Linked DNA regions of Mus musculus. The protein of the gene in region 1 interacts with the protein of each later gene in a pairwise test. Links are inferred from orthologs where the notes say so. Each region holds a gene or a part of one and is shown in the gene's direction. Other genes may lie near its edges. The genes, in order: Pak2 and Rhoj.

The links.
Region 2: the proteins of Pak2 (region 1) and Rhoj interact in binary tests that used the Homo sapiens proteins (3 or more experiments, as listed by UniProt). The two-hybrid records come from large-scale screens. The link is inferred for Mus musculus from reciprocal best matches to the Homo sapiens genes PAK2 and RHOJ.

What each region holds. Positions count from the first base shown.
Region 1 is NC_000082.6:32,069,963-32,080,303, reverse strand, and holds the start of Pak2 (serine/threonine-protein kinase PAK 2), read left to right. Parts: upstream 1-961; 5' UTR 962-1,216; intron 1,217-1,252; exon of another isoform or gene 1,253-1,471; intron 1,472-10,341. UniProt on the Homo sapiens protein: Serine/threonine protein kinase that plays a role in a variety of different signaling pathways including cytoskeleton regulation, cell motility, cell cycle progression, apoptosis or proliferation.
Region 2 is NC_000078.6:75,304,040-75,314,380, forward strand, and holds the start of Rhoj (rho-related GTP-binding protein RhoJ), read left to right. Parts: upstream 1-4,273; 5' UTR 4,274-4,784; coding exon 4,785-4,962; intron 4,963-10,341.

The sequences.
Region 1 (10,341 bases):
TTTTGGTTTTTATGTTTTCATACGTTTTTTTGGTTGTTTTTTTTCTGAGACAGGGTTTCTCTGTATAGCCCTGGCTTTCCTGGAACTCACTCTGTAGACCAGTCTGGCCTCGAACTCAGAAATCTGCCTGCCTCTGCCTCCCGAGTTCTGGGATTAAAGGCGTGCGCCACCACCGTTTTCATGTTTTTAACCTTTACAAAGACTAGGTGAAGCATGTTCATTTCTGGTACCTAAATGGTCTTTTGTAGATATTAGATATTGACATAGTTGTGGAATAAGAATACATGAATTAACTCCTCCATTGATAAAATACAGAAAAATAAAAAAATCTTTGTTTTGCAAAGAGGGAGGACCTAATTTAGCAGCATAATCTGATTCAACTTAATCTGGTTAAATTTGTAGGAAAAAAAAAAGCGGTGGCGTCGCATTCCTTTAATCGAGGCCAGCCTGGTCTTCAAAGTGAGTTCCAGGACAGCCAGGGCTATACAGAGAAACCCTGCCTCCAAAAAACCAAACCAAACCAAACCAAACCAAAAAACAAAGTGAGCTGGGCAGTACCTCTTCAGGAGGCAGAAGCAGGAGGATCTCTAGTTCAAAGTCAGCCTGGACTACAGAGTGAGTTCCAGGACAGCCAGGACTCGAAAAGCCATCCCTCCCCACAAAACACCAATTGGTGAATGGATACATTCTCAGAAACAAAGACCCTCTACACACAAATATGTTTGGATCAGCTGTTCTCCGTCAGCTTTGTCAGTAGGTAAACCGTAACTGCAGACAATGCAGAATGCTGATAAATGAGGGACAGGTTTTCTCTGTAACGCCCACTGTCCTGAGTCTCCCTAACAGATGACTAGACTACGGTTCCCAGCCGCCCTGTGAAAGCCCGCCCCTCGGGTCATGACGCCACTTTCAGGGCGGGGCTGTCTTACGGCCCCGCCCCGCGCCCCCGCCGCCGCCCTCCCCCAGGGTTGTGGCCACGCGCAGCGGCAGCGGTTGTTCCGCTTCCCCTCCGGCCCGGGCCGTCGCCATTGCCGAAGGCTCCTGCCCTCCCCTCCCTGGCCCAAGGGGTTCTGCGCCTCACGGCCTCGGTAGCGACGGCCGCGCCCCGCGCCGCTCCCCTCCGCCCTGCCCTCCTCCCTCTCAGCGCCCCAGCGCAGTGCTCGCCCGCGTCGGCCAAGCAGCCCGCCCTGGGTCGGGCGGAGACCTTTCCTCTCTGGTAAGTGCGGTTGCCGCTCGCCCGGGCCGGGCCGGGCCGGGCCGAGCCGCCGCCCTCCTCCCGCCTCCGCGGCCTGGGCCCAGCGGCCCGGGACGCCAGCACCTGCGGGCGGGCCCGCGGCTCCGGGCGGTGGCTCATTGTCTGCGCCCTGGCTCTAAGCTTCGGCCGAGAGGAAGCTTGCTGGGCTGTGGGGACCCTGGCCACTCCGGCCGTCCTTGCCCTTCTCTCCCGCCGGCGCTGCACCGGACGACTCGGGTTTGTTCCTGGATGTTCCCTCCTTTACCAGCTGCGTTCTCTGCAGTCTCGTCGCTCGGGAATCCTGTCGCGAGCTCCTTAAGTTCAGTGTGTAAACTCTTCCTCCTCCTCCACATTAGGAAAAAGTTTTTGCCGGGCTCTGGGAGCCTGCGTTTAAGAACAGAAGTTAAGGATCTTACGGTTTTTGCTTGATCTTTAGCCAGGAGGTGAATATTTGCTTCTTAAGGTTAACTTGGGCTGAGGTTGGCTTTTCACCATGTTTGGCTGTCTGAAACACGCGCGCCCTCACAAGAAAAAAAAAAAGTTGCTGCAAATAACTTAATGGACTCAGCCTTTTGATTAGTTCTAGATCAAGTCGTCCAAGACAGAAGTGTGTTAAATAATTGCCATTGTGGCTTGATGGGAAGGAGGCTCTCTCCATCCCCTGTCTTAATAGAACTAGGTAGAGTGGAAGTGAGATTTGTTTCCTCTTTGACAAATCACCAACTCCCATCGATAGCCGCCAGGTTCTTCTTTACAAGTGACCTGTAGATTTTCCAGCTTTTCGTTTCTAACCTTTTAAAAAAAGACAACCAAACCGGTTAGGCCCAAAATTAGACAACGACGAGCTGAGCTGTGTTTTGGGTGAAGGTTGTGCACGTCACGTTTTTCCCCTGCTGTATTCGACTCTTCCGCTCTTATAAAGTAGGCAGGATATTGAAATAAATACACAAGAATTTGCTCTGGGGATTTTTTTTTTTTTTTTTTTGGTAGAGCTATCCAAAAGAATAGTATGAATAAAATTAGGTTGGGATGAAGGCAGTGAGTAGTAATTTTTAAAACAGGTTAGGGCACGTCAACTTTGCCAGAAGCTCTGTGGCATTTGTAGAACATTCTTGCTTGTCTCTACCCCAGTTCTTCAGTTGGGGTGTGTGTGTGTGTGTGTGAAGGAAGCCTTTTTCGTATACTTTTATACCCATCCTCTGCCTTTCCTAGACAGGGCCTCATTCCAGCTCAGGCTGTTGTGACACTCTTCCTGTCTCAGCCTTGTGTGCTGGGATTACACGTGTTAGCCAACATATTTGGTAGCCTCTCTTTTTAGGTCTTTCTAGAGATTAATTAGCCAGGAACACTATTGTACATTTACATCAGGGAAACTGAATTTTATATTGTTGCTTAGATAGATAGAAAATGTAACTTTTGGGTTTTGGTAAAAGAGGTTGCCCAAAATTAAAAATGTTTTCTTCTTGTTTTCACTAGTACATTATTACCTTTCCCTCTGCCAGGCTATGGGGGAAATGGATTAGTATCAAGTACTGCCATCCTTTGGTACTGTGGGTTGTTCTTAGGTTAGTGAGTTGTCTTGACACTAGGGAGGAATGTCAGGGAATGAAAAAGTACCTTGAAGTTAGTTTCTGCTGTTTCTTTCTCCTTTTTAACCCCTTGTACCGGATTGAACCGCAGACCTCCCTGTGATGCTAGGCAAGTGTTCTTTGCAGCACTGAGTTACAAGCCCAGCCCTCTCTTCTCTGTGCAGACAGTCTCACTGTTTCCCAGGCTGGTATTGAATCTCTTCCCTACCAGGTAAGCCTTGAACTGGGGTTTTCTTCTCAACCTCCCTAGTAGCTGGGATTGCAAGCCTGTGCCTGCAGAATATCTCATTTGTTTCCAAAAGCAGGTATTTGTTTGTTTTTCTTTGGAGACAGCCTCTTTCTATGATACCCAGGTTTGTTTCAAACTTCTGGACTTAAGATCTGCGTCAGAATCCTAGCCAGTGAGATTACCATTGTGTTGGGCAAGCAGACATGTTTTTAAAAAGAGAATTCTTGGGTATTTCACTTATCTTGGGGCCTTGATTCCAGATTTACCTTTTGAGAGAAAGAGATTAATTCTTCTGGGCTTTGTGATCCGTGTCCTGAAACCTAAATTCATGAAGTGATAGTTTTTAGTTGATATATGTCTGATAAAAGGTTCTCGTGTTTCTTTGATTTTTATGATAGGCAAGTTTCCAACTAGACATGATGAAGGCTAGTTTTACGTGTTTTAAATGAGGAAATTTAAAACTTGTTCTGGTTAGCTAAAGATAAACTCTGAGTTATACTTTTACAAAATGCAGGAGCTTGAAATAATTGCCAAGTATAAAACTAGTAGCTATGGCTGAATCCTTACTATCTTCATCAGTATTGGTTATTACAGTAATAATGTTCCGTACTCGGTGCTTTCAGTTTTCTGGCTTTGGTTCAAATTGGACTGTGTTCCAGTCTTGAGACTAGGTCAGGCCTTTCTCTCCTCAAGCACTGCTAGTTACAGAAGTAACTGATGGTTGTCTGATTAGAGGGGAGTTGCTACTTGCAGACTGTGCTTCTGAGTTCTCGGAGGTGAAATTCCTAACTTTTTAAAGATTTAAAAAAAAAAATGTGTAAGTGTGTTTTGCCTGCATGTGTGTATATGTACCATGTGGGTGCCTATGAAGGCCATATAGGGTGTCAGATTCCTGGGACTGGAGTTGCAGACAGTTGAGAGCTGCCAAGGATGCTGGGTGCTGGACTGAGCCACCTCTCCTGCCTGCCCTTCCTTTTTATTTTTTAAGCCTCTTTAAGAGCAGAGAGAGAAGATAAAAATGTCCCTTAATTATAATCACGAAATAGCTTTCTGTGATCAAAATTAGTCTCACTGCTTCATTTCCTTTCTTTCTTTTTTCTTTTCTTTCTTTCTTTCTTTTTTTTTTTTTTTGTTTGAGACAGGGTTTCTCTCTGTAGTCCTGGCTGCCTGGAACTCACTCTGTAAACCAGGCTGGCCTCAAACTTAGAGATTCACCTGTCTCTGCCTCCTGAGTGCTGGGACTAAAGGTGTGTACCACCACTTCCTGGTTTGGTAATTAGCCTGGACGTTCATTCAGTATTGTAAAGTTCTTTCCTGTCTTGTGTAGTGAAACTTACTCTGTGTGTCCCAGGAGCTGGAGACCTGAGTTTGAATGTTGGCTCTTCTAATTAGTCTTGGGCAAGATACCTTTTTTTTTTTTTTTTTTGAGTTTGTTCTTTGAGTCAGTTTCATACATGTATTTAGGGAAGGGAATTCTGATTATTGTAACCCTTAACTTCCCATCTGTCAGACTCCCTCCCTTACAAGTCTCTTTACTTACCTATATATCATAGGTTATGATATATGTAATGGACTTTTTTTGTTGTTGTTTTGTCTTTTTTATTTTTTTTTGAGATCCATTAAGTTTAGCCAGGGTTTCTGTCTGTTTGACCATGGCTTTGTGTCTGTTTTCTATTGCTGTGATAAACACCATGTCTAAAACCAGTTTATTTCATCTTAGAGTAGTTTATAGTCAGTGTATCATTGAGGAAAGTCAGGGCAGGAACTCAGGCAAGAACCTGTTGCTGGGAACTGAGGCACAGACCGTGGCGGGGCAGTGCTTATTGGCTTGCTGTCTACGGCTAGCTAGCTCAGCTCGCTTTTTATATAACATGGTACCACATGCCCAGGAGTGGCATTGTCCACAGTGGACTGGGCCCTCCCTCATCAATCATTAAAGAAAATGCCTCCACGTCAATTTGATGGAGACTTCTCAGTAAAGATCCCCTCTTCTCCAGTGACCAGCAGTGTGAGAATTAGAGAATTATAAATGAGCACAGATGAGAGTACCATATACTAGAGTAGCTCATAACCGTTAGAAAGATGAAGCATTGGGGCTGGAGAGGTAGCTCAGTGGTTAAGAGCACTGACTGCTCTTCCGAAGGTCCCGAGTTCAATTCCCAGAAACCACATGGTGGCTCACAGCCATCTGTAATGGGCATCCAATGTCCTCTCCTGCTGTGTCTGAAGACAGTGACAGTGTACCTACGTACATGAAATAAATAAATCTTTAAAAAATGAATAAAAGAAAGATGAGGCATCACCATATTATGCATATGGAAATCAATATACAAGGGTTCTTTTTTCCAATTTTAAAATCAAGATAAATAGGCCATTGTAGCTCAACCTATAATCATAGTACTTGGATGGCTCAGAAATGGGGATCATCATGAGTTCAAGGTCAGCCAGGCTACATACATACTCACTGTCTCAGGAACACCAAATAAAAGAATTAAAGTCAAGGGGAAAAAAATCACCCCCTAAACAGAGGCTTACTTCTAACTACCCCCTCCCACCCCCAGGGTTTCTCTGTGTAGCCCTGGCTGTCCTGGAACTCACTTTGTAGACCAGGCTGGCCTCGAACTCAGAAATCCGCCTGCCTATGTCTCCCAAGTGCTGGGATTAAAGGCGTGCATCACCACCACAGCCACCTCTGGCTGTGTTTAAGTTTTTTCATAGTGGCCATCTTACTGTGTATGACATATTTCATTGTCGTAATTACTAGCGACATTGAATGTCTTCTCATAAAGACTTAACTCTTCAACTGAGGGGGTTAAATTAAGGAGCTAGATTGTGGCAGTGATACATTTATTTTCATGAGAAACTTCAGTACAGTTTTCAAAGCTATATTTTCTTGAGTTCCACATCCTTGCAAGTATGTAGATTTTATCTTTTCTAAAACATGTATCAGCAGTATGTGCTTGTTCATTGTTTCTTAAAATCTCACAGTGATGTGTAATGTTGAACATCTTTTCATTTGCTGCTGTGCCATTTGTATGTCATCTTTGATAGGGTGTCTCAGGAGCTATTTTGTCCATTCTTAATAGAGTTGTTCATTTTCCTGTCACTGGGTAATGGGTTCTTTGTATGTGTTTCATGTAATAGTCTTTTATATCAGGAACTTTTTTGTGGACATTCTACTGGTCTGTGGCTTGTCTCCTCACTCACTTAACTGATGACTTTATAATGTAGTATTGTTTGGTGACAAGTAGGTTCTGCGTTTTTTGAGATCTTTTTTTTATAGATCATATGTTATCAGTAAAATAGTTGTCTTATTTAATATTTTTGCATCTATACTTATTTTTGGTATTTGTTTCTGGTGGGGGCACAAGTGCATCAGAGGGCACCTTGCAGAATCTAGTTCTCCCCGTGTGGGTTCTGTGGATGAACTGTCAGGCTTGCATCAGGCACCTTTACCGACCTCACCAGTCTCAGGTATTTTCTTCTTCTTCTTCTTCTTTTTTTAAATTTTATTTGTAATTCATTTTTTACACTCCAAATTACATTTCCCCACCCCTCCCTATCCACCCTCCGACTGCTCCACATCCCACACCTTCTCCCCACCCCACCTCATTGCCACCTGGATGCCCCAGCCCCCCACCCCACCTGACCTCTAAACTCCCTGGGGCCTCCAGTCTCTTGAGGGTTAGGTGCATCATCTCTGAAGGAACACAGACCTGGAAGTCCTCTACTGTATGTGTGTTAGGGATCTCATATCAGCTGGTATATGCGTCTGTTTGGTGGTCCACATATTTTCTTCTTGAGGAATCTCATGTAGCCCAAGCTGACCTAGAACTCCCTATGTAGCTGAGGATGAGTTTGAACTTTTGATCCTACTGGCCTGGTCTCGCCACCCTCTTAGTGCTGGGATAACTAGCATTATAGGTATGTGCTATTTTGCTCTGTTCTGTCTTGGATTGTGTTTTTAAAACTTCTCTGTTCCTTTTTCACTCAATATATTATTAAGCTTTGTCTTTCTTGCATTTTGGTTTTGTTCTCTCTTTTAAGTTGCATGTAGTCTGGTGGATAGCACACATGCCTGTAATCCCAGTACTTGGGAGGCTGAGGCAGAAGGATAGAGAGTTGGAACCTGGTCTTGGTTACATACTCTCAAGAATAACCTGCTATGGTTTTATTCTGAAATGGGTGTTTAAAAAATATGTTGTAAAAGATAATTTTAAAAATTTTATTGAACCCATGTTCTATGAAGTTACCTTCTTTACTTTGTCTTTTTTGGGGATGGGGTTCTTTTTTTTTTTTAACAGCTTATTTATTTTTACTTTATGCACATTGGTGTTTTGCCTGCATGTAACAGTCTGTGTGAGGGTGTTAGATCTTGGAGTTCCAGTTAGTTGTGAGCTGTGGATTCTGGGACTTGAACCCTGGTCCTCTGGAAGAGCAGTCTTTGTATTATTTATTTATCCCCCCCCCCCTTTTTTTTTTCGAGACAGGGTTTCTCTGTGTAGCCCTGGCTGTCCTGGAACTCACTCTGTAGACCAGGCTGGCCTCGAACTCAGAAATCTGCCTGCCTCTGCCCTCCAAGTGCTGGGATTAAAGGCGTGAGCCACCACGCCCGGCCAGAAGAGCAGTCTTAAAAAGAGTGCTTGTTGCTCTTTCAGAAGACCTAAACTTTGGGTCCCAAAACCCTCATCCAGATTTAACACCGTCTTCTGGACTCAATGGGCACTTTATCTACATGTTGTTCACTCATACAGTGACATACATATACATTAAAATAAAATAAATATTTAAACAATTTTTTTCTCTAAAACGTGACTTTTCATATTTGATGATTGTACTTACTAGATTGCTCCCCTTACCCAACCTGAGATGGCGTATTCGAAGCACATTCTGACCACTGCGCTACGTTCCCTGCCGTGTTTGCTTTGTGTATGTGTGTGTCAGAGAGAGAGACAGAGACAGGACAGAGACACAGCACTAACACTCATGGGCACATATGTACTTGTATGTGTATGGAAGTCCCAAGTTGACATAGGGTGTCTTCCCTGATCCCTTATCCGTTGAGTCAGTATCTCTAGCTGAACCCCACACACAGCTTGTCAGTAGGGCTAGTCTGGTAAACTAGCTTGCTTCGGGGGTTCCCCCAGTGTGTCCACCTTCTTAGGATCTGGGATTTCCAGCAAGTCAACACCTTACCTGGCATTTATAGGAACGTGTTCTAGGGATCTGGACTCTGGTCCTCATGCTAACACTCCCATCATTTGAACCATTGAGCCATCTCTCCAGCTTATTCTGGATTGTTAAAATATAGTATACTGCAGGAGTGGTAGCACAAACCTGTAATCCCAGCACGCCAGAGGCTGGGATGAAAGACTGGGAGTTCTATTCAAAAGAAAGGAAGAAAGACATGTTGCTTAGTTAACTCAGGCTTGACCTTCATTCTCCGTTAAACAGTACTTTGTTTTAGACTGTGTGGGCATTCCTTTTGAGAGAGTCGTGTTGTCCCAATTTGTTCCTCTTTGCTACTGCATGAAGCTGTGCTTAGGTGTTTACTGCCTCTCTCACCCTCTGTTTGTGTGTGTTGGTTTTTTTTTTTTTCCTTTCCTATATTTGAATTGCTGTTTAGAGTTTGACCAAACTTAAGGGAAGCTAGATTTCAAAGTGTTTGTTCATTTTTTAGTTTTTAGTAATCTTTGTTACTTATGTGTTCTCACTTAAATTCATTGTTGGTCATGTTTTATTCTGAGAGGATGGAGCTTGGATGGAGGCCAAGGAGGAGAGATGGTATCACAATGTGGATTGCAGAATTTATCTACATTTGATGTTTCCTTTGCATACCTGGAACATTCCTTCTTAATTTTTAAAAGTCAGGTGTGACTTCTGGCTAATGTGTGTGCCATCAGGAGCCTTTTTCCCACAGTGTTCACTGGCTCTGGTTAGCCTTGCCATGATCTGTGCTCAAAACCAGGACTAAATCTTCACCCTAATATCGAGCAAACTTGTGCACAAAATAAATACATTAGTGTTTTGTTGTTTTTCAAACAGTCTCACTATATAACTCTGTCTAGTCTGGAACTTTTTTTTTCCAATTTTTTATTAGATATTTTCTTCATTTACATTTCAAACGCTATCCCGAAAGTCCCCTATACCCTCCCTCTACCCTGCTCCCCTACCCACCAGCTCCCACTTCTTGGCCCTTGGGTTCCCCTGTACTGGGGCATATAAAGTTTGCAAAACCAAGGGGCCTCTCTTCCCAATGATGGCTGACTAGGCCATCTTCTACTACATATGCAGCTAGAGACAGGAGCTCTGGGGTTACTGGTTAGTTCATATTGTTTTGAACACCATTTTTTTTTCTCTGAGCTACCCGCAGATATTATTTAGATTTTTTTTAATTAGGTATTTTCCTCATTTACATTTAATGCTATCCCAAAAGTCCCCCATACCCTCCCCCCCATTCCCCTACCCACCCACTCCCACTTTTTGGCCCTGGCGTTCCCCTGTACTGGGGCATATAAAGTTTGCAAGTCCATTGGGCCACTCTTTCCAGTCATGGCTGACTAGGCCATCTTTTGATATATATGCAGCTAGAGTCAAGAGCTCCAGGGTACTGGTTAGTTCATAGTGTTGTTCCACCTATAGTCTGGAACTCTTATAAAGCTTATAAACCAGGAACTGACCTTGAACTCAGTAAGACCCACCTGCTTCTGCCTCCCAAGAGCTGATTATTAAAGACACAGTGCCCAGAATGAAAGAAAGAAAGAAAGAAAGAAAGAAAGAAAGAAAGAAAGAATCAATCAATCAATCAATCAATCAAGAATCTTTATCCTTAAGTAGTGTCATTTAACTCTAGTGTGAAAATGTTAGAAGGGTTATTTCTGGAAAGTAGGATAATGAAGGGTTATTTTTAGACAGCTTAAATAGGCCTAAGAGAGGGTTAAGAGAAGGGGTGATCAGAAAGACTTGCACCAGAATATGGGTGTGGTCTGTTGTTAGGAGCAGGTGTGGCGGCAGTCCTAAAGGCGCCAGGGACTGTAGCTAAGTCGTATGACTTGCACCTGACTTCCTCATATAAGCCACAAACATCTTGAGAGCTGCACAGGTGTACCAGGATACAGGTGAATCCAATTTGGTGGAGATTTGCCCCTGCTGCCCTGATTAGCTGAAGCTGCGTGCCTGGTGAGGTGGCGTGGCCTGCTGTGCATGGATGAGAACTGAGAGTATAAAAGAGTGAGAGGCCCAGGGTTCGGGGGAGATATAAAAACAAGGGAGATATAAACAAGGGAGAT
Region 2 (10,341 bases), on another chromosome or scaffold:
CTTAAACAGATCGTAGTCCCACCCATGCCTCATTTACAATTAACCCAATTTCTCTCAAAATTATGAGATTACAGGGGGAAAAAAGTCCTCAAGATAGGGAAAAAATCCTTCTATATAATTTTTTTTAAAAAGCATATCCCAGAGACTTCGGCCGATAAGACACACCATGACATGGTACATGACATCGGCGATAACTGGAAGCTGAGCACAGTGACTCAAAAGATGCAGAACACAGACACATGAGCATCCCAGATGGAGATGACTCATCCCCCTTGGGAAGGGGCAGTTCCAGTCCAAGCTAGAACACTCTGTTCAGTGTTAGTGTCCTAGCCAGTCGAGGATATTTGGGTCAGAAGCCTTACAACTACAGAGTGTTGTTGTTCCCAATTCACATCTTCCCATCACTGTTAGAGACTGCTTAGCCTCTGAGAGAACTTTCTATGGAATGTAGGTGGCTAGAGACTTCTAGGTGCCCTCGAATAACCAGAATCATAACACACTGCACGTTTATAAACCTGGAATCAAAATACTGCCACAGAAAGACTGTCCCAGAATAAGATCTGACCCAGTTACACTACTTCCCTGTGCAACCTCTGGTAGGAAAACAAGGAAAGAAGTCAAGGTTCTTCCTTCTTTTAAAGTCACAAGAAAACTGGACTAAGTCAGATGAGTCAGAATTTATGCAAGATACGATGTGTGTGTGTGTGTGTGTGTGTGTGTGCGCGTGCGTGTGCGTGTGCGTGTGTGTGTGTGTGTGTAAGAGTGTGTGTGTATGTGAGTACATGTGAGACAGTGTGTAAGAGAGCCAAGGCGTGTGAGACAGAATGTGTATGTGAGTGTGTGTGTGTATGTGAGTGCATGTGAGTGTGAGAGTGTATGCATATGAAAGAGAATGTGTATGTGTGAGTGTGTGAGAGAGAAAAAGTGTGTATATGTAAGTGAATGCATGTCTGAGAGTGTGTATTTTGAAAGAGAGTGTGTGCATGTGTATAGTATATGTAACAGAGTTAGAAAGAGTGCATGTGTGATACAGAGTGAGTATATGTATGTGTGAGTGTGTGACTGTGTGTGTGTGTGTGTGTGAGTGTGAGTGTGACTGTGTGACTGTGTGTGTGTCTGTTTGAGCTGACATTTACAGAAATTCCTGTAAAACCAAAGCACAGTGAACAGGAATGAGCCAGGGGATTAAGGTCTGTTGGAAAAAGCAAAAAATATCACCCAACAAGATTTCACCATGTGCTGTTAAGTTTGGATAAACTTAGCGGTGAGGTAAACCAAATAATTAATGGTTTTGTAACCACCAGTCAATCATCTGCATGGCTCTAGACCCAAAAGTACAGACATCTGCCTACGAGCATGTTAGACAGCAGTCTTCATACCACTTCCAAACTCATATAGGCAAATGTTTAGAATGGAAGGACACTCTTGGTCATTCTACCTGGCCAACCATACACACCTCTATCGTTTCCTGAACCTGTAAGAACAATAGTAAAATTTTAAGATTCAGGTTCATGTAAGGGTTGTTGTTGTTGTCTCAGTCATCATTGCTGTTGCTTTAGACTTTCATTATGTTTGAGACAGGGTCTGACTATATAACCCTGACTGGCTTACATATAGTCAGGCTATAGACCAACTTTCCTTGAACTCAGAGATTCACCCCTTGAGTGCTGGACTTAAAGGAGTACCCCACCTGGCCCAGTTTTCATGGCAGTCTTGTTGTCTAAAGGTTTTAATATTAAAAATGATGTATTTTCATAGACAGTGTAATCCACTTAACAGTAAGTCTAAAATACTAAAATTTTATCTTCTTGTTATTTTTTAATAGAATACTCAAAACTTCCTTCTATAATTGTTACATTTTTGTTAAATGGTGATAAAACAACTTTATAGTGAGAAATACAGCCAACATTCTCCAGAGCTATAAGCCATTTGCCTTCCATATGTCTTCCAGCCTGGCATAAGTACCACTCCACAGATGAAGAGACACAGAACTAGCTTCTTGAAGTGTCTTAAAGGTCGCAGTACAAAGTCCGCATGACCATAAGAATGGACTTAACTGTCTGTGCCCCATGGTGCAAGATTTAGTTACACATGGAAATAGCAACCTCACCAAAAGCCTCTATAGCCGATATCTATAGTGTGCAGGTGTAGGTTCTGCCACTCTCAGCCTAAAGGCCAAGGAAGACCCTGCTCACAGCTCTGCCAACCACTGTATCATCACATTGTGCTCGGAAGATCCTGTTCACTTCCAAGCAGCAGGTTTGGGGGTCTTTTAAGTTTGGGGGAGAAGGGATGTTTGCACTGCCAATCAATCACCTTTTAACCTGCACAGGTTTGTGTGACTACCTCCTTCATCCTCAAAGCCTTCTATCAAAAGTATAACAGAAGTTTCTAAATTACAATTCCCTGCATACCCTGCGGTCCCCAGAAAGACTAACTGGAAATAAAATTACACCAACTACAGGCAACTGTGGGGGCCTTCACGTGCTTCACAACGGGGCTTCATATGATCCATTTACACTCCAAGTAGAGTCAAATAAGTGATCTCTGTCTGTCATTCAAGCTGTTCATCAGTGTGTGGTACTTCCCTCCCAGCTCAGGGTAGGATGATGCTTCTGACCCTTCAGTTGAGCCCCTATAAGCGTGCAACTTGTTCTGGCCAGGGAATGTTAGCAGAGGGTCACTTCCTAAAGAAAACAGAGCCAGAGTTTCTCCATGTCCATTTCCTCACCTGCCATGGTGTGCATGACAGTTCAATCAGCCCCAACCCTGAATAAAAAGAACAATGCTGTATACAAGATACACAGGAGGGGGGGAGGGGGAGGGGGAGGAGAAAAAGGAGGGAGGAGAAAAGGGAAGAGGAAGAGGAAAAGGAGGTGGAGGAGAAGGAAACGGAGGGTGCAGAGGAGAAGGAGGGGAGGAGAAGGGGAGGAGAAAAAGGAGGAGGAAAGGAAGGAAGGAGGAAAAGAAGAGGGAAGAGGAAAAGGAGGAGGAAGAAGAAGAAAGAAAGAGAGAGAGAGAGAGAGAGAGAAAGAAAGAAAGAAAGAACGAAAGGAAGGAAGGAAGGAAGGAAGGAAGGAAGGAAGGAAGGAAGGAAGGAAGGAAGAAAGAGAAAGTTATTTCGAATTCTGAACTTTGGGGATTATTGTTATGGTAACATAACATCCCTGATACACTCTATACCTAATTGAAATGTTTTTCTTTCATAGGAAAGAAATGTTGGGGCACCAAGCATCATGGCAAGTTTTACTCTATTCAAAACAGAAGAGGTGTGGACTCTGTACCTTGACAGCATGCACATGAGTTGTAGGTACCTAAGTTACTGACAGTCACTAAAGCTGACTTTTCCCCGTCCCGGCCACAGTGAAACCGCTCAAAGCCCTTAGATAATCTGCAATCTTCAAAATCTCATAGGAAAGCAAAGGGTTTTTTTTACTTTAACCCATTCGTCAAAATCATTTGTAGGTTCACGTTGTCCATTATCAAATGGGGCTTCGTTCTCAGGCACCAAACTGGCTGCTATGCGCCTGTGTCATTGAGGAGAGCTGGGCCTACCCAGGGGGAGATGATTCGAAGAAAAGGAGAAGCCTCTATGCATACACAGCATTAGAGACTCTAACCAAGCCAAAAGGCCACACTATGTGCCTCTCTCTCTCACTTCCAAAAGTGTGAGTCCTGAGCTCAGCATATCTGATTGAGCCCAATATCTGATTGATTTCCTCTGTTTAAAAAAAAATCATTGGGGTTGTTTTGGGGAGTCTGAAATGTATATTTGAGCATTGTGCTCAAACACAGACTTGTAAACTTGGTCACTCATAATATACCTACAACCTGCACAACGTTCCCCCCTCTTCAAAATCGTGTGACTCTGGAAGATTTCCTTCCTTGTTGCGGAAAAGAATTGCTTGAGATTCTCGTTTAAGGGAAAAAAAAACTGTCGATTTGAACTGGTGAGTCAGGGAGGGAGGATGACGTCATATGTTAGCCTGCAATCCCTATGAGGTCCTCTCAGCTCCCTCAAGCTCTCAAACTCAGTCCTCTCCCTAGTTTCCGCGGCAGACACTGCTCCCCGGGTTCCATCCTTTCTTCTTTGGCTTCTTCCCAGCCACAAGCCAGCAGCCTGGCTAGCTAGCAGGGGATAAAGCAGGAAGTTTGACAGCTTAAGCTGGCTGCAGGACCCCTAGTGTTTTCCCCTCTCCGTGTCCTGGCCTGGTTCCCCAGAAGTCCAAACACACGCACAGAGCCCCATTGTTGCCGCCTTCCCCGGCCCACTGATCCTAATATGGAATGCAGCAGGAAACCCACGATTTCCTGACACTCGGCAAGCTGGAGGAAGCGAGGGGGGGGAAACTCCGTTTAAAAGCCCTTCTCTCCTCCATATTAGTTGTGTGGTGGAAAACCGGGCAGGAGTTATCCAAATCCCACCGTGTCATTAGCCAGGCTGGGGATGGGGAGGGTAGAGTGAGATTCTCACGGGCTGCTGATATTTCTAGACTGCCAGGAAGTCCCGGGAAGTCTATGGACATGAGAGTTTCTTAACTCCAGCTCTACCCCCAACTCCACTTCTCCGTTGGGATTGGGAGAAAGGGACAGACCCTTTTCATCCCTCCTCCCAAGAGTGCCTTCCTTCTCCAGCATGGTGAGCTGCGGGGCTCGAGTGTGTCTGGGCTGTGCCTGGGAGAGCCCGGCCAGCCAGAGTCAGGCCGCCTGAGCTCCAGCCTGGGGCCGGTGCCACCGCTCCATGCACTGCAGAAGCCCCAGCAGCTGCTGCGGGAGCCGCCAACATGAGCTGCAGAGAGAGGACCGACAGCAGCTGCGGCTGCAATGGACATGAGGAGAACAGGATCCTGAAGTGCGTGGTGGTCGGGGACGGCGCGGTGGGGAAGACCTGCTTGCTGATGAGCTACGCCAACGACGCCTTCCCAGAGGAATACGTGCCCACTGTGTTTGACCACTACGCAGGTAGGAAAGCGTGGGGACCAACTCCGTCTAGATGAGCGGTGGGGTTCTGGGCACAGCTACCTAGCGTTCAGAGGGACCTGGCTTTCGCCAGAAAGTCACAGACTGATGTGGATCTGGCAGGTACCAGGTAACTCCATCAAGAATGGTGCTAGGATCCTGCGGAGACCCTGTACATCCATTCACATGCTTCTCCTATTGAAACAAATGTGCAATCCTGGGGAAATATCCTCCAGAAATGTTTCTCAACATTTTTGCCTAAACTTTCTTCAACTTTTCACGGTAATTATTTTTTTTTGAAGTGTAGTGTATTGCAAAATATTCCATTTTAAAAAAATCACCGCTAGACACATGGAAAGTGTTCTACTCTCTAAACTTTTTCTACTCCATGCTAGTCATGATCAAACGGCTAATAGAACCAGCTAATAAAACCTTCTTTTTTTTTTTTCCTGGATTACTTGGGGCTTAAATTTTGTACTTTCACTCTTCTGGGATGGTAGATAAGGAGAAAAGTGTCCCACGCTTTTAAATACTAAGTGGAAAATTAAGTAAAAGATGGCTATGTTTTTTAAAGTAAAAAATTCAAATGCAATTAAATCGTTTTCAACTATGTCCTGAAAAGACAAATTTGAGTATCTAGTATTTTAAACCGTGATCACCCCGATGCTGTAGTCACAACTTAATCCTTTCAGGGGAGTTTTAGTGTTTGAGGGTTTGAAGGTTTGTGGTGATGTCAGTCAGCATCATGCCTTGTTTCTTGACATAGCTGCCACCCCTAAGCTTCCCCTATGTGAACTGACCCGTTGCCTTGGACTTACTGTGGCCTCAGTTTTATAGTGCTTTTGAACACTTCGATCGATTGCCCTTGAGTTATCAGAGCTCTGGGGTCTGGTGGAAGGGAAATGTCTCTCTCTTCACCTTGGCTTGGGATCAGGATCAGCCTAAAGGAAGCCCTCACAGGAAGTCAGCCTGGAGCTCTGCTGTGTGGCCATTTGAAATCCTCCCTCCATAGGAAGCAGACGCTTGTCATCCTCTCTGGAGGGCTCCCCCCACCCCCATCTTCCCTTCCTTTTAAGTGGACCTATTTGCAGCAGTGGTACACAGCTGACAGGGGAGGGATTCGCAGCTGGCAAGGGCGTCCATTTCCTATTAGGTCTTTCACTCTGTAGAAATTACCTAGAAATTTGAAGACCAAATTCCTGAGCTTTTCTGAAAACATAGTGAGTTTGGCCAAGGAAGAACTTTTTAATGAGAACACAAAAAGACAAAAAGAGGTTTATCTTGAGGGGGAAAAATGTTGTAAAGTGCTTTGAGGAAGGGACTCTAATTCCGGTCCTGAAAAACATCATAGCAGAAATTATTTCTCCTGTGTCTTCTTCATGCTTGACAGGAAGGTGGCAAGTACTTTATTTCAGGAACTTTCTGATCAAAGACAGAACCGAAAATCTACTAAAAGGAAAGGCTCTTAGTGCCTGGGAAATTATGTCTCCAGATACCCGTCCTTCGGGTGAGCCAATCGAAGTGGTGTTGGGAAGAAAGACAAAACCATCTTTGGAAATAAAGCTAGCCTATGATGGAAAAAAACATTAGAGGTCAAACCAGCTGGACTTTGCTGGCACTGGGTTACTTTATGTTTCAATTATATGCACACTGGCTGGTGGTTGAGCACCAAAACCTCTCAAAGAAGTTTTAATACTTGAGTTTTTCAGGAACTAAACTGTATAATTTCAGCTTCCAAGAACTCACAGCCCCGAAACTCAGAGCAGTACTTTGTACACAGTAGACATTCCTGAACATGGTGACTTCCGTTTATTCTATATACTTCTTTCATACATGATATCTCACGTGCTATCCATGTGGTTAAAGCAGGGAAAGGCGTGAGCCACGCTCACACGAGAGACTCTTGAGTGCTGATTTCTATCCCAAGGACCCAGCCCTGCTCATACTTGCTCTGGCCGAGCATCAGCCCGTGGGCGGCCATCAGGGAGCAGATCAGTTCTAAAATAACCAAACGCCCCCTTTCGCATCTGGATCCAGTTTTCAGTTCCCTGGGTCCTACTGACCCACTCTGATAGAACAACAGGAAACACATCTGCCGTGTCTTTTGAAAAAAAAAAAACTGCAGTTGAAATCAAAGACAGCCTGTCTCTTAAAGATAGTTCACGAATGATGGTCCACGCCAGGAAAGTATGTAATGTAGTAGGACTGAGTACAACAATACCACATGACCTGGCTCTAATACTGCCTTCTCTGTCACTTACTCTGTGGCCTTGAGAAAGTTACTGAACCTCTTTGTGCCTCAGTTCTGAAAGGTAAAACCAGGGACCGTAAAGATATTGGAATTGTTTTTAAAAGTGAAATGAATTCATTCATATGTGTAAAGTTCTAGACCCCCAACACACAATGTTAGATGTGGGGGGGGCACATATCACATCAAAGTCTATACAAATAATACATACAGTGATTAAATCAAATTAAAATGTTACTAAAAGAGAAGAACTACAACCGGAGATAGAGGAGTATCCTGTAATGAAAGTACGGGGCAGGATAGGATGTATTATTGTCCTTATAAAATAGCCATCATGGAGGTAAGACCCAATGGCCCTGGCTATAGTAGTCACGGGATGTTAACGTAAGAGGTAAAAATACAAAAGTGATAGCAGAAAAAAAAACTGTAAAAAAAAAAAAAAAAAGGTTGAGGTTTTATTACTCCTGATTTGCCTGTCCTTCCAACCTACCAGAATCCCAAACTACCAGAATCCAAAAAAGCACACCAGTATACTAATTCTATATGGCGTTCCTGAATTGTCTGAGGAGGGTCCTTGATCTGTGTCCAGTCACCTCCAGAAATGTGTTTACGTCTCTAGGCGCAGTCCGCACCACCCTGTCATATTTTACTTCCTTACTCCCACCCCCGACCCCCGCAACCCCCTCTGTGCTGAGACTCCTTAAAGGAAGGTCATCTCCTGCCACATCTAGCTGGCATCTTGCCCCAGAGATGCTTTGATGGTTCGTGACTCTCCTTAAAACACATTCCTAGCTTGGCTTCTGAAGCACTTCCTCCCTTTACTGTCCCACCCCCTGGCAACGCTCTCCCCCATCTCCCAGTGGTAACAGTTCAGTCGTCAGTCCCTCGGCTCACTTCTCTGGTGAACCTTGGAACCTGGGTGTTAGTATCTACTTTCACAGCTTAAGATGCCATTGCTATACCACCAATTTCGTATTTGCATCTGCCGCCCCTCCCCAACAGCCTCAGAACACTCATCTGTATAACTGTACACATCCATTTATGTATCTAACAGGCCTCTCCAGCCAATGCTTCTTCAAGTCTCCCATCCACTCTTCCACCTCCCTTCCTCTCCATGTAAGAGCACTGCTGGTTTCTTCTGCCCAGTGACTGAGAACAAACACCAGTATCACCCATGACCCCTTGCTCCCTTTGATCCCTCCTCTTCCTCTCCATTCAAACAATTAGTTATCATCCCTTGCTCGTACATATGAGCTCAGCATTCACAGTGCACCAAGAACCAACCTTTGCCACTTGTCAGGACCTTTTATAGCCTTTTCTCCTATCCACACCACCATCATCTCTCATCCACACCAGCATAGTGGCCTCCCAACTCCCTCTTCTAACCCTGCCCACTGTGAGTCTCCACCCAGCTGACACAGAGCCATCCACAGTCCCAGCACCCCCATCCTTTCCTCCCAAACACATACTCCTCCTTTGCCACAGTGTACAAGGTCCTCTGACTTTGTCCCTGTTTTCTCTCTTCTAGTCCTCTATCAATTTTCTCGGTATTTCTTCTGTAACCACAGTAGCCCATCTTGCTATTTCTCATGGAAGACTCCTTAAATATGTGACATTCACTCTTACCCTGGCCCGACACTCCCTGCCCATATCTGACATAGTATTAATTGGCCACATAATTTAATCCATGTGTCTGTGCCATGTGTCTGTTCCTGTGTCCCCACACACACACACACACACACATACTCATACATGTGCATGTTCAAGTAAACACACACATACACATATACACGTGAGAGAGAGAGAGAGGGAGAGAGGGAGAGAGAGAGGGGGGGGAGAGGGAGAGAAGGAGAGGAGAGAGAGACCTCTTTTTCTGCTATACCGTCCTTGACCATATTTAATACTACTTAATGTTGTCTGTTTATTTCCTACCTTCAGCTTCTCAAAGCAGAGCTTGGGACATATTAGACTCTCAGTAGATGATCACTGAGTGACATGATTCTAAGCATTCACCTTCTTGTTCTCTCCAGCATTCGAGTCATCTCTAGTCCACTAAAGCTTTGGTGAACAGTACTAAAGGCATGGTTCTGTAGTAGAAGCCTTGCCACACATGCTCAGGCCTCAGTACCTGATCTTGTACTTGATCCCAAGCACCGGAAAAAAATAAAACTTTGACAAATATATAATGCCAGTCTAATATATATTTCTTTAAGAATGAACATATGAAACTATTTGTTATATGTATTCTATCTTGTAGGGTTTTTTGTTTTGTTTTGTTTTATATTCTATACAATCATCTCTCCTACTGAAGCTATAATACAGTAATAATTATCTTGACCTCAGTGGACATTGTGACAACTATCGAATAGTGTCGCTCTACAGTGTATACATGTCACCCGATTTCCTCCACCTGTGTTACACTCAAAGCTAGACTGCACTTGGTGTAATGCACTCAAACAGTTGTACTTCTTATAAACAGAGCATATACAAGAATAACCCAAGTTCCACTGAAGGTTAGGACTCCAGAGTTGGAGCATCAGGATAAAGGTAGAAAGGGTAAATGGCGTATGTTATGAGGCTCTAAAAGCACCATTGGACACTGCTTCCGAAGCCCATCCAAGGATTCCTTAAAATCCCCTAACAGCCTCTGGGTTGTTGAGTTTAGCATACAACAAGAGCATATCTTCTTGTTCTTCAATTTTGTGACCAACCCCTTACTGATAAAATATCCATTAACATTTCATATGGCATCAGAATAAAACTTGCATCTGAGTTCAGTTGGATTATATGCTGTTAGGCAGCGTATGTAGCCATCTCCAGTTGAAGCATGTCTCCACAGACTTCACCATTTGCATCACACTCTGTACTGAAATGCATTCTGTCTGAAGGGTCTCTCTCCTAACACTCCTCCCACCTAGAGCTCTGTCATCAGAAGTCACTCTGTTTAAGAAGCCACTTTAAGCCAGTGTTTGCAAACTCAGGCCGCCTGTGCCGGAAGTTAACACAATTCATGGAAAAGAGGAAGATCCAGTTACTCTATCAGCTTTGTGAGACATAAAAGGAAGTTGTTTTCACAGAAAACTGAAATCTGGTTCTAACTTTTTCCACCAAACTGAATGGTAGTTGGCCCAAGG